Coturnix japonica: one gene and its partner. The protein of the gene in region 1 purifies or fractionates together with the protein of each later gene. This does not show direct contact. Links are inferred from orthologs where the notes say so. Each region holds a gene or a part of one and is shown on either strand. Other genes may lie near its edges.

Region 1 (5,674 bases):
CAAAAAAGCAATTTGCAGAGAGGAAGAGATAAATCTGAAATAATATAGTGCACTATGCTGTACCTTCCCATTTGAAAAAGTATAACTTAGAATACTGTTTTCTGCCTAGGAAATAGGAAAGGGAATCCCAGGTGCATGCAAATGACTACAGCATGCAGCCCCCAGTGAACACAGGGCAGAACTGAGTGTTCAGCATGATACAAGGGAGACGTCAGCATGAGTTCCATGACCTCAGCTATGGGACCAATTTATTAGAATTTGCCTCTCATTAAGAGCTAAAAAGTGAGCTGAAATATCACTTGCTGTTCAAAATTTGGCACAGTCATTAATTTCTAATAAGGACTGTAATTGGCTGTACCGTAAGCAATATATATTTCCCTGGCATCCAAATATTCTCTCGTGGGAGTTATTCTTATGTAGTAGTTAGAGCCAGAATGATCGTATAAACTAACCTGAGTAAAGCAGGTTTGGAGTTTTTCAGTCTGCTCCAGTATAAAACAGAAGAAATTAAAGTGTTCAGTGTTAACCAGTTTTGGCTTGCAGTGCTATTAGAGTCAGCCACTCAGCTACACATGGAGCAACTCAATGATGGCCATGCAGACTGACTTACCAGCTGTGTTCTGCCACACACTTTAATGTTAGTTCTCAGATATGGATGTTCTGGAGATTGTTTTCATAGAATCATAGAATTACCCAGGTTGGAAAAGACCTTGAAGATCAAGTCCAACAGCAGCCTAACCATAGTACCCTAACTCTAACAACCCTTTGCTAAATCATATCCCTGAGCACCATATCCAAACGGCTCTTAAACACATCCAAGGATGGCAATTCAACCTCCTCCCTGGGGAGCCTATTCCAGTACTTAAATACCCTCTCTGTAAAGAAGTGCTTCCTAATATCCAACCTAAACTTGCCCTGGTGCAACTTGAGGCCATATTCAGGTTTTATTGAGGTTTTATTCAGGGCTATTCTAGACCTGGCAACTGCATGTCCTATCCTATTAAAAAGGTTAATACAGTAAGCAGGTCTTTTCCAATCTTGGTGATTCTTTGATTCGGGTTATTTTATTTTTTTAACTGACATTTTCAACAAGAAAAGAAGGAATACTTGATCCAGTAATTAACTGGAAATTGGCAGGTGGTCTTGAAAAATACAATATTGTTGGATTATTAAAGATGTTTGTATAACTGAAAAAAGTCTGAGTGCTAATACTGACATTCTGGTTTCTCTGGCAAGAGAACAAAGCAGACCCAGCTTTCACTTGACTGTCTCCTTTTCACATGTAAAGGCAAATTAAACAGTGCTATAACTGGGGCTGTGTGTTAGTTGCTAGTAGGGACCAGGCTAGTAGGCACCACATTTTTCTCCACTGTTTTTAGCATTTTGAATATTTCTTGGTCTTCTAAAAACTCAGATGTAATTCACTGTGTTCTGAAGCCACTAACTTGAACATGGGGATTTTTCCTGCTCATTATAGAGGACGAAACAGCACAACCAAACATATTCTTGATGTGAATATGGGCCTATTATATGGACTAAAAAATGAAATAAAATATAAAAGAATTGATCATTCTACAGAATACAGAGAAAGAAGTTATATGAAGAACAGATGTTGTAGCCCCACGAATCTGGCATTCTTACGCGTTCAACAGCTTCAATCACAGACATTCTATCATTCTGAAATCCTGCATTTAAAGGCTCAGAAACTATTAACCTTTCAAATTTTCCCTTCTCAAGGACATGCTTTCAGATACTGCTTTTGAAGAATTTAACTTGTAGCACTTAAATTTTCTAGCTGTTTGCAAGAACATTAAAAACCAGATAATCTCCCTAACAAAACAGAAAAAAAAAAAAGTAATAACTTTTGGTTGGAATCAAGCCCGTTGTGAGATTCAGCTTTGCCACTCATTGCATTTCTCTTAATAAGCAGTATCAACCTTAATTTCATTTCTGTAACACATACTGAACAGTCAGCAGTGATTAAATCTCATCCCTTCAATATTCTCAAATAAGTATATATTTGACAGATGATCTTCCTAATAGCTTGTACTTGCCATAAAAAGTAAAGCAGATGGCTTAAATAAGATTGTCTAAGACAGTGCAAGTGCCAACCTGTTGGTATAAGACTACGGTAAAGCTGAGAACAAGTGTCACATAAGCTGGTCCTATGTGATATCTGTACTGGTTATATATTGGTATCAAATCAGATACCAAAACCAAGTTATTATGCAAGTCTATAGAAGTGTGATTGAAACAATCTTTAATACCCACATTCACTGAATGCAAAATTGTTCTGTCAAACTATTAGTCCAAGGACAATAACCAAAATTGTTTTTGTTGACCAAAATGCACTAATACCCAAACAGTAAATTCTAACAGCATTTCATAAATGTGAAGCAATGGAACGTCCATCACTGTATCATTGGTTTCTTAAGGGCCAAAGGTTCCTTGCCATCCCTTGCTCAGCCCTACACTAGCACGTGTGTTCTGGAAGTCTGTCTCCTCATAGAGAATCACAGAGCACACTGAGCAGGCTGTTCCTCCCAGCTTTTCCAAATCACAGAATGCCTTAGGTTGGAAGAGACCTTAAAGATCACCCAGCTCCAATCCCCTCCCCATCCATGGGCAGGGCTGACACCCACTTGAGCAGGCAGCCCAGCCAACCTGGCCTTGAACCCCTCCAATGTGCATTCCAGTGCCTGATTAAGGGCCTTACTCAAACCGTGCTCTGACACCACTATCCCCCCTCCGCACCCTTTGCTCAGTACGGGGGTAAAGAACCTGCAACAAGTTTACAATCATACTTAGTAATATTATTAACGCTGATCAGCCTCCAATTCAGCAATTCCTTCGCCTCTCAGTGCTTGTCTCTCCAAGCTGTATGACACCCCAGTTCATACGGACCCGGCATATACGGACCCGCCATACCGTGTGACACAAGAAACAGATGTGCAATAAGGCACAACTCGGCACTACAAAGACTCGCCCACTCGTTCCGGAGCCGACCTACATGGCAGCCCAGGGCTCGTGGGCACCGAGGGGACGCGGCCATGGAAGCCCGGATCCCCAGCCTGGAGTTACGGGAGCCGGGTGCGGGGGGTGGGGCTGGGATCCCTCCGGCCGCCACATCAGCTCCGGCTCCCGGCCCACATCCGCCTGGGGCCAGCGCTGCCCCGACTCTCTCTGCGGCCCTTCAGGAGCCACTCTCTCGCCCCGGCTCCCCGGGGAGGGCTGCCCGCCGCCTTCCCCCTGCCCCGGCCGCCCGCTGCCCGCACTCACCACCTCCCGTGCCCGCCCGGTGAAGTCGCTCCTAGAGCGGGCAGCGCTGCGCTTGAGCAGCTCATCCCGAGCGCTGTCGCCAGCCGCCACCCCCAGCGCCTTATTGCGGGTCTTCACCGTCTTCACGCTGGCTTTGAAGAGCAGGGTGATGTCCACCGCCATGGCGGCCAGCCCGGCCCCGTCCACCGGTGCCTCCGCGTTTTGCCTTCCCCGAGCAACGCGGCCCCGCGCAGCGCGTTCCGCTCGGTCGGCTCCAGGGATGGGTGCGGTGGGAAGGGAGCATCGCGGTGTTGCTGTGCGGGGATCCTGCTCTGCTGCCTCCCATCGCGGAGCGAAAGATTGAGGAATAAAATCTATATTCCAGCCAAATTCTGACGTGTGGATCGCCGAGCTGTGGTGTCGCGGCAGGTGTCACCAGGTGGTGCTGTTAGACAGAGTCATCCAAGCCGTCGGCCTTGGAATTCAGTCTAGGAAAGAAGGGTTAATTGGAGTTGATTAATGGGCTTCAGCAGGTTTGCACCAGGGGATGGGTTTTGTGCTGCTGTGAAATTTCCATTGGAGATGGCCGTACGTGTATTAATATATTGATTATTGGTTATTTCATAGAATCATTGAGGTTGGAAAGGACCCTTAAAGGCCATCTAGTCCAGCTCCCCTGCAATGAACAGAGACACCTACAGCTCCATCAAGTTGCTCAGAGCCTGTTCCAGCCTGAGCTTAAGTGTCCCCAGGGATGGGACAGCCACCACATTTCTGGGCAACCTCTACCAGTGCCTGACCACCCTCACTGTAAAAGATTTTTTCCCTATATCCAATCTAAATCTCCCTTATTTTAGTTTGAAATCATTTCCCCTTGTTCTTTCACAACAGATACTGCTAAAGAGTCTGTCTCCTTTCTTACAGCTCCCATTTAGATACTGACAGGCCACCCTCAGGTCTCCCCCAGGGCCTTCTCTTCTATAGGCTGAACAGCCCCAGCTCTCTCAGCCTGTCCTCATGTGTTCATGTAGGCCCACAGCTTGAGTCTTTCTGGGTCTCTCTGGAGTGCTATGTTTCTTCTTGAACACAATAGATAGAACAACTTCAATACACCTGTAATGTGTGTAGTGATTTCTGTGCCTGTTAAGGCCCTTGAGATCTACTGCCATTCCACATTTGGTCAGTATCACTGGTACTCCAAGGACAAACCCTGCAGGGAGCTACAATGCACAGCTATTATTAATTTGACTGAATCAGAGGAAAGCTTTCTGAAATACCCTTTGCTATTATTTTAGTTGTGGCAATTTCATTACCATGTGCTGTGCAGAAGATAAGTGACTGGAAAGGAAACTGTGTGGCACAGCAGTGAAAACTTCTGACCAAATAACTAGTGGTGGTAGTGAGTGTATGCTATATTATACTTTAGGATCCCACAGACTTTGCATGATTTTAACTGCTCTCACTGATTGAAAGTAACCTCCCTGAGAGAGTCTCCAAAGAAAAAAGAATAAAAATCCTGCCTTTCCCCATCAGTCTGGAATTTAACCAGCTCCTGCTCCAGAATATCAAGACTTCTGCTGATAATTACTACATTGCTTTCAGTTCACTTCAGTCTCAGCAATAGATTGTGAGTTCCTTCATAGCTGCATTGTGATTAGTATTCATTCACACTCCGTTCTTGTTGTTCTATTCTAAATCATGTTTTATTGCTCTATGGATATGCATTTCTAATTAAACATACAGTTGTTAAGACATTATCCTCGGTGCTGGATTTACCATGAAATATATTTAAGTATTAGCAAGTGTACAGCCAAAGAGGTTAAGATTTCCATTCCAGGAAAGCCAGGAGGATTGGACATCCAGCCAGATGTCTCTGCTCTTTCAAGATTAACTTTTAACTAAAGACATATTTTATAAAGATAAGATTTAGACAAAATAAATCAGATATTCAGGTATATTTCCAGAAATTGGTTTTCTCTTTCCCTTTGTATTACACAAAACAAATTAAGCACACAAGAGAAAATTCCAGGAATATGTCATGGATTGCATTGATACCCACAGTCTGTAATTCACTTGTGAATTTCTGCATGTTTACTAATGCTGTGTTACAACAGAACAGAACAAACTAGGATAGGATAGAATAGAATAGAGTAGTTATTTGAAAAGGACCTTTTGAAAGATCATCAGGTCAGACAGCCTGACTGCTTCAGGGCTAACCAAAAGCTGAGGCACATGGTCAAGACGAGGCCACATCAACACTAAATGTAGTGGGAGAATTGCCTCTTGACCAGCTGGTTACATGGTGTTTAATGCAGCCCAAAATGCAGCTCACTGCTGGCTCATGCAGGGCCCTTCCTACTGAGCTGCTCTCCAGCCATTTGTCTCCCATCTGTACTTCTGCCTGGCACTGCACCAT
Region 2 (5,310 bases), on another chromosome or scaffold:
TGATACCTTCATCAGTATCAGCAGGGGTACATGAAGGGTAAAATGTGCTCAAGCCTTCCCAGGACTGAGATCAAATGCTGCTGACAGCCTGAGCAGTAAGGACTCCCTTATCTCATGGGGATGACTGCACTACCTGTAGGTAAGTTGTGAAAAAAACAAGGTCCTAACAAATAAATTCATTTTAAAGAGTTCCAGTTGTCAAAGTGAAGCACCAGCAGTCTCAAACACATAATTTACAGACAGAACACCTTCAATTCTGAATTCAAAAGCTCTCATCACCAGTTCTTCCAACAGAGAAAAGGTTCACAGCTGCATGGCAGAAGCAGACAGGCACTGCCTGCAAATTTCCCCTCATTCTAACCTCATCTGGAAGTCTCAGCTTTTGTTTCTTACATATGAGCGACTTAACCTCCTAGATTGCAACTGAAGAGTTCAGCATTGTCACACACGCTACCTGGTTGTCTTGCTTTATCACGTTCTGAGCAGCCAAAGTGTTGTTTTTGAGACTGCGAGCCAAACTCAGCATTTCCTCCGCTAACTTCTCCTGCATGTCTTGATGGTGCTGTAACACAGCATCCAGCTCCACTGCTGACTGCTTCTCATCAGACACAAGGCCTCTGCAAGAGCACAAGGAAAGAAGAATAGGGATTTGTACTTATGGGGAACCACTGGGAGGTCAGCTCAGGTTGTACAACTCTGACAGAACAACACGCACTTCACCCAAATGGGAACGTATCTGTGATTTAAGGTCATTGGGAAAGGCAGTCCCAAGGCACGGAGCATCAAAATAAGGAATTCTGACTTACTTCCGCTTCCTTACATTCAGCTCCTCAGAATCTGGAACAAAAATAAATGCTGTTTTAGCATATTACTCAACACTGCACAATCACAGGCTGATAAAACAAGTTCCTTGAAAGATTTTCTTTCCCAGAGATGTAATCCCAGTTGGCCTGGTTCTACACCAGGGAACGTGGATTTCAAACGTCTGTTTTCCACCAGGAAAAGACAGTACATAACAGCAAACGTTTGGTTGGGAGAATAAAACACCTGAGATGAATCACTTCCCTGAGGGCTCGGCTTCGCCCATGGGCTGTGCTGTTCTCTTCCAGGACACTCAGACTGGCCTCATTCCAGCCACTGTTACAGTAGCTATGGAAACCACAAATTAAATCCTACCAGTTCCCTACGTGAATAACGTGGCTGTATGTTAGCTCCTGAGATCACACGGTTTGCTCACAGCAGAAGAGAACGTTGGCAATGACAAACACAAACCCTCCTTGCTAATGCTACAATTGAAACACCTGTTTCAGCATGAATTCCTGCAAGTCTCCTCTGCTGTACAGGTAACACTGCTCATGTTCTCACCTATTCAGTGTTTCTTTTATATCTTATATCTTATATCTTGACAAGAAGTGAGTCAGTAATTTAGAAATACACCTCTAACACCTGACTTTCCTCTTTCTTTACTCATAAAATTCAGGTCAATTAAAGAAAAGGAGATTGAACTTACCACTGAGAGCCAAGGGATCCTGGGAGGCAGGAAGAGAAACAAAAGAAAAGATTACAAAGGGCCAGTGAAAAGGTTCATGAGGAACAATCACATGGAATCACAGATTCAAGGGCCTCCATGCACAGTATGGCACCTGTGCCCAGTATTTAGGTTATCCATAGGAAAAACAAAAGGTGACTCCACCCCCAGCCTAGGATGTACCTGAGGCACAGCCACCAAAGGCAACCAAATGTCATAAGAGACCATCTATAAAGTAATAGTAGAGAAGCAGCAGCACCAGAACATACTGTACCAAGCAGCTCACTCCTCATCTTGCCTGTGCAACGAGCCTTGGTCTGCAGATGAACCGTTTTGGAAGCTGGGGTTCTCTCCTTGATCGTAGTAGGAGTACGCCCAGGGGCTAAGAACTGATTTGCCAGTGCCTTTTCAGTTGATGAAGACTGTAAGTAAGAAGAACCAACGAGAAAGAGTCACAAACATCATTCAGTAGCGTAAGGCCACCTGGATGTATGGCCAATGAGGATTTAGGGAGCACTTCCACAGCTGCTGGAATGGCTGTGGAATTTTGCAAACTACAGCTTGGAGAAGGAAGGAAGAAGTTTCAGACTTCACACAATACCCTCTTTCAACAAAATACAATATATTTATTCACTCTTGTCGAGAATTGCCTGATAAGATTTTAACAAGTGTTATCTTGGGATGTAAGATAAAAGCAAGCGTAGGAACAAGGCAACAAGGAGAGTTTAAGAGGAGAATATCTCTTAAGTTTTTCCAAGGTAAACTAACATATCTTACCAGTTTTTCAGCTTCCAGAAGTCCCTTTAGAAAGTCTACTTTACGTGTGTATTCATTGAGCAGTTCTGGGGCAGGCTTGCTATTAGAATTGGGAAAAAAAAACATGTGAAAAGCAGTAAAGCATTACCAATTTCCATTGTTTAGAAAAGTCTTCAAATCAAATTAATCAACGTGGGCTTTTTCAAGAAAGAAATAGACTCAAGTTGGGAGCATACCTGCACCCCCTCAAACCACCTTGCCGAGGCACTGTGACTGCAGCAGCTCAGGACACAGCCAAGCAGAGGAACACTGTGCAGAGCCGAGGCTGACAAGGAGAATGAAGCGTGTATGTGAACATGGCACAGCTGTGCAACTGCCTGATGCACTCGGGTCAGTGCAACCCCAGATACGTGAACAGACTGGGTGAAGAACGCTCTAACAGCGGCCCTACCGAGGAGCTGTGGGTGCTGGTAGATGACAAACTGAATGCAGACCAGCAGTGTGTGCTTACAGCCTGAAGGGCCAACGGCATCTTGGGCTGCATCAATGGGGGATGGGAGGGGTGGCTCAGGGCATGGAGGGAATTGTCTCCCACTGCTCTGCTCCTGTGAGGCCCCATTTGGAGGACTGTATCCTCCAGCACAGGAAAGACATGTAACTTCTGGAATACATCCACAGGAGGGCCACGGTGACACCAGAGAGCACAAAGTATGGTGAAGGAAGTAAGGCTCTGAGGAAACCTCACTGTGGCCTCCCAGTACTTAAAGTGAGGCTGCAGACAGTGTCAGGACAAGGGGGAATGGTTTTAAAACCATCAGAACTCCAAGATATCACACAGGGAGGTTTTTATACTAATAGGGCAGTGAGGCCCCAACGCCACGATGTGATCCTGGCAGCCCTCACCTGCACTGCTTCTTCAGCTCCCGCAGCATGTCCTCCAGGGCGGCCACGTACTGAGAGAGAAAGGAGAGAGAGAGAAAGGAGTCAGCATTGCGGATAGATATTAATATTAATCCCGGCAGAAGCCGCAGCACGGCTGACAGCGCAATGGGGTTTAACGCCCTGACACCGGGCTACCTCTGTTTATTCCGAGGAGCAGAATGATGCTGCTGAAGGCCGAGGGCTGTTCCCGGCCAGTCCCTCCCCAACACAAGGCCGGGCCGCCCCTCACCTTCTCCAGCCGCCACTCCTCGGGATCCCGCCGCTCCGCCGCCAGCGCCTCGCACCGGCTCAGCAGCCGGATCAGATTCAGCTCCAGCCGCGTCGCCGCCATTGCGAACAGCCGGCACCGGAAGCCACCTCAGCACCGCTTCCGGGCGGCGCCATCTTAGGGCGGGGCGGGAGGTGATGGAGACGCTCGGCCGTTGTAGGCGGGGCTCCCCACACAGCACAGATACAGGCAGATAATAAACGTCGATAAATAGACACAAACTTTGGTGTATTTTTTTAAAAAGTGCAATGTATTAATGAACATTTTTGTACATTTGGTCTCAGTTAAGGCTATTACAACACGAACAGTTCTGTAAACCGCACAAAGTCGTCATAAAAACATACAAAATTAAGGCAACGTACACTGACCCACACTCACTGTTGGTCCCATTAAAGTCCACTGTAAGGCAAATGGAAGAAGGCACGGCAGCAGAAACGGGACGCTATTTTTTCTTTACCTGTACATTCATGAATAAGTTCACAGCCTTCAAAGCCTTAAAAATCTAAAGTCAACTTCAGAAAGATCCAGACAGCTTCAGTATTTCACTTCTCCGTACACACAAGGTGGGAATAAGGGTCTGAAAACCTCCGTTTTACTTTTGCTGTTGGTTCATATTCATCTAAAAGTTCCTGAGGGTGGGTCATTGCAGACCCTTGTGCAATGTAGATAGAGTGGACTTTATCAGTTCGTATTGCTGGCTGCTCCCTTCGTCTCACCACTATTGGAGACTCTTCATCAGCTGAAGCCTTGCCCTGAGATTCGGTACATTTGAAAATCCCAGGAGGAAGTTTGATGTTTGCTGTTGGCATCACTGGAGTTCGACGGGGCACCTTAATCTTGGACAGTGTAAAAGACAATCTGCGTCTTGAAGCCAGGGATGCAGACAAAGAACTTGAAGAGGTTTGCAAAAGAGAAGGCACTGTGCAAATGTCTTTGGCAGGCACGTCAGAGCTCTGAGCGCAGCACTGGACTCCAGAAATCGTAATTCCTTTAAAGAAACAATACACTGAAAGCATGCATAAGAATGTAACGTGATACAAGCAGGTGTGACCAGGTAGCATCTGGTCACCTGGCTCGATGCAGTGAAATATGTAGAATAAAAAAAGCACACACTACCTTAATACTGACCTTCGGTATCCATCCGCCCCGTTCTCTCTTCTAGCAGGCTCTCTGTGCTTGCTGAGGTCTCAGAGTCTACATTTTCCTCATCAGAGCCTCGCTGATCAAGCTCAGGTAACCGATATGTTATGTCTTCCCTACATCAGGACAGAAAGAGCACTTCTGAAATAAACGCTGCTTAAGGTTGCTCCTATCAGAGGTAAACCTTCCTGCATATAGTCATTAAATAATAATTCTCAAAGTATTTTCTCTCATCCTGGCTTTTACATTTTCACCTTCATAAAGGCCTGTAGAACATAATGAACTAACTGTAGATAGTTTTGGACAAAAAGCATAGTGCTTTGCTGTCTGTATTATACCAACCACAAAGGGCACAACAGGGTTTTTAAGGCTATGACTTACTTTTCTTCTTTTATTGACTGTATCCGATCAATGAGAATCTCCTTTTCTCGGTTATCAGCTTCAGAAACTTCCTCTTCTTCATGCAGAGAGCCCAGCTCTGAATTGCCACTGTCATTTCCTTTGACCTGTGGGCTTTTGCTCTGTAAGACAGATTTATGACTCAGTCCTAAACACCTACCCATGTCCTGACTAGCTACTAGCTGCAAGGTGGAAGACAAATGAGCAGGACAGTTGAAGGGCTTGTGGATGGAGAGCTGTTAGTCATACAAATGTTTCAAAGGGTAATAGATATATT

Evidence for each region. Proteins that work in one complex are often made in the same cells at the same time.
Region 2: the proteins of STX18 (region 1) and USE1 purify together in Homo sapiens (co-immunoprecipitation; 4 studies listed by BioGRID and IntAct, counting the BioPlex papers as one, with this or other methods). This does not show direct contact. The link is inferred for Coturnix japonica from reciprocal best matches to the Homo sapiens genes STX18 and USE1.

The regions. Positions count from the first base shown.
Region 1 is NC_029519.1:71,389,641-71,395,314, forward strand, and holds the start of STX18 (syntaxin-18), read right to left. Parts: upstream 3,504-5,674; 5' UTR 3,442-3,503; coding exon 3,280-3,441; intron 1-3,279. UniProt on the Homo sapiens protein: Syntaxin that may be involved in targeting and fusion of Golgi-derived retrograde transport vesicles with the ER.
Region 2 is NC_029543.1:3,206,773-3,212,082, forward strand, and holds the start of USE1 (vesicle transport protein USE1), read right to left. Parts: upstream 3,612-5,310; 5' UTR 3,558-3,611; coding exon 3,456-3,557; intron 3,238-3,455; coding exon 3,188-3,237; intron 2,385-3,187; coding exon 2,306-2,384; intron 1,951-2,305; coding exon 1,798-1,950; intron 1,530-1,797; coding exon 1,511-1,529; intron 838-1,510; coding exon 807-837; intron 618-806; coding exon 455-617; intron 1-454. Other genes in the region: MYO9B (unconventional myosin-IXb), read right to left, coding at 4,037-4,482, 4,623-4,750, 5,016-5,155.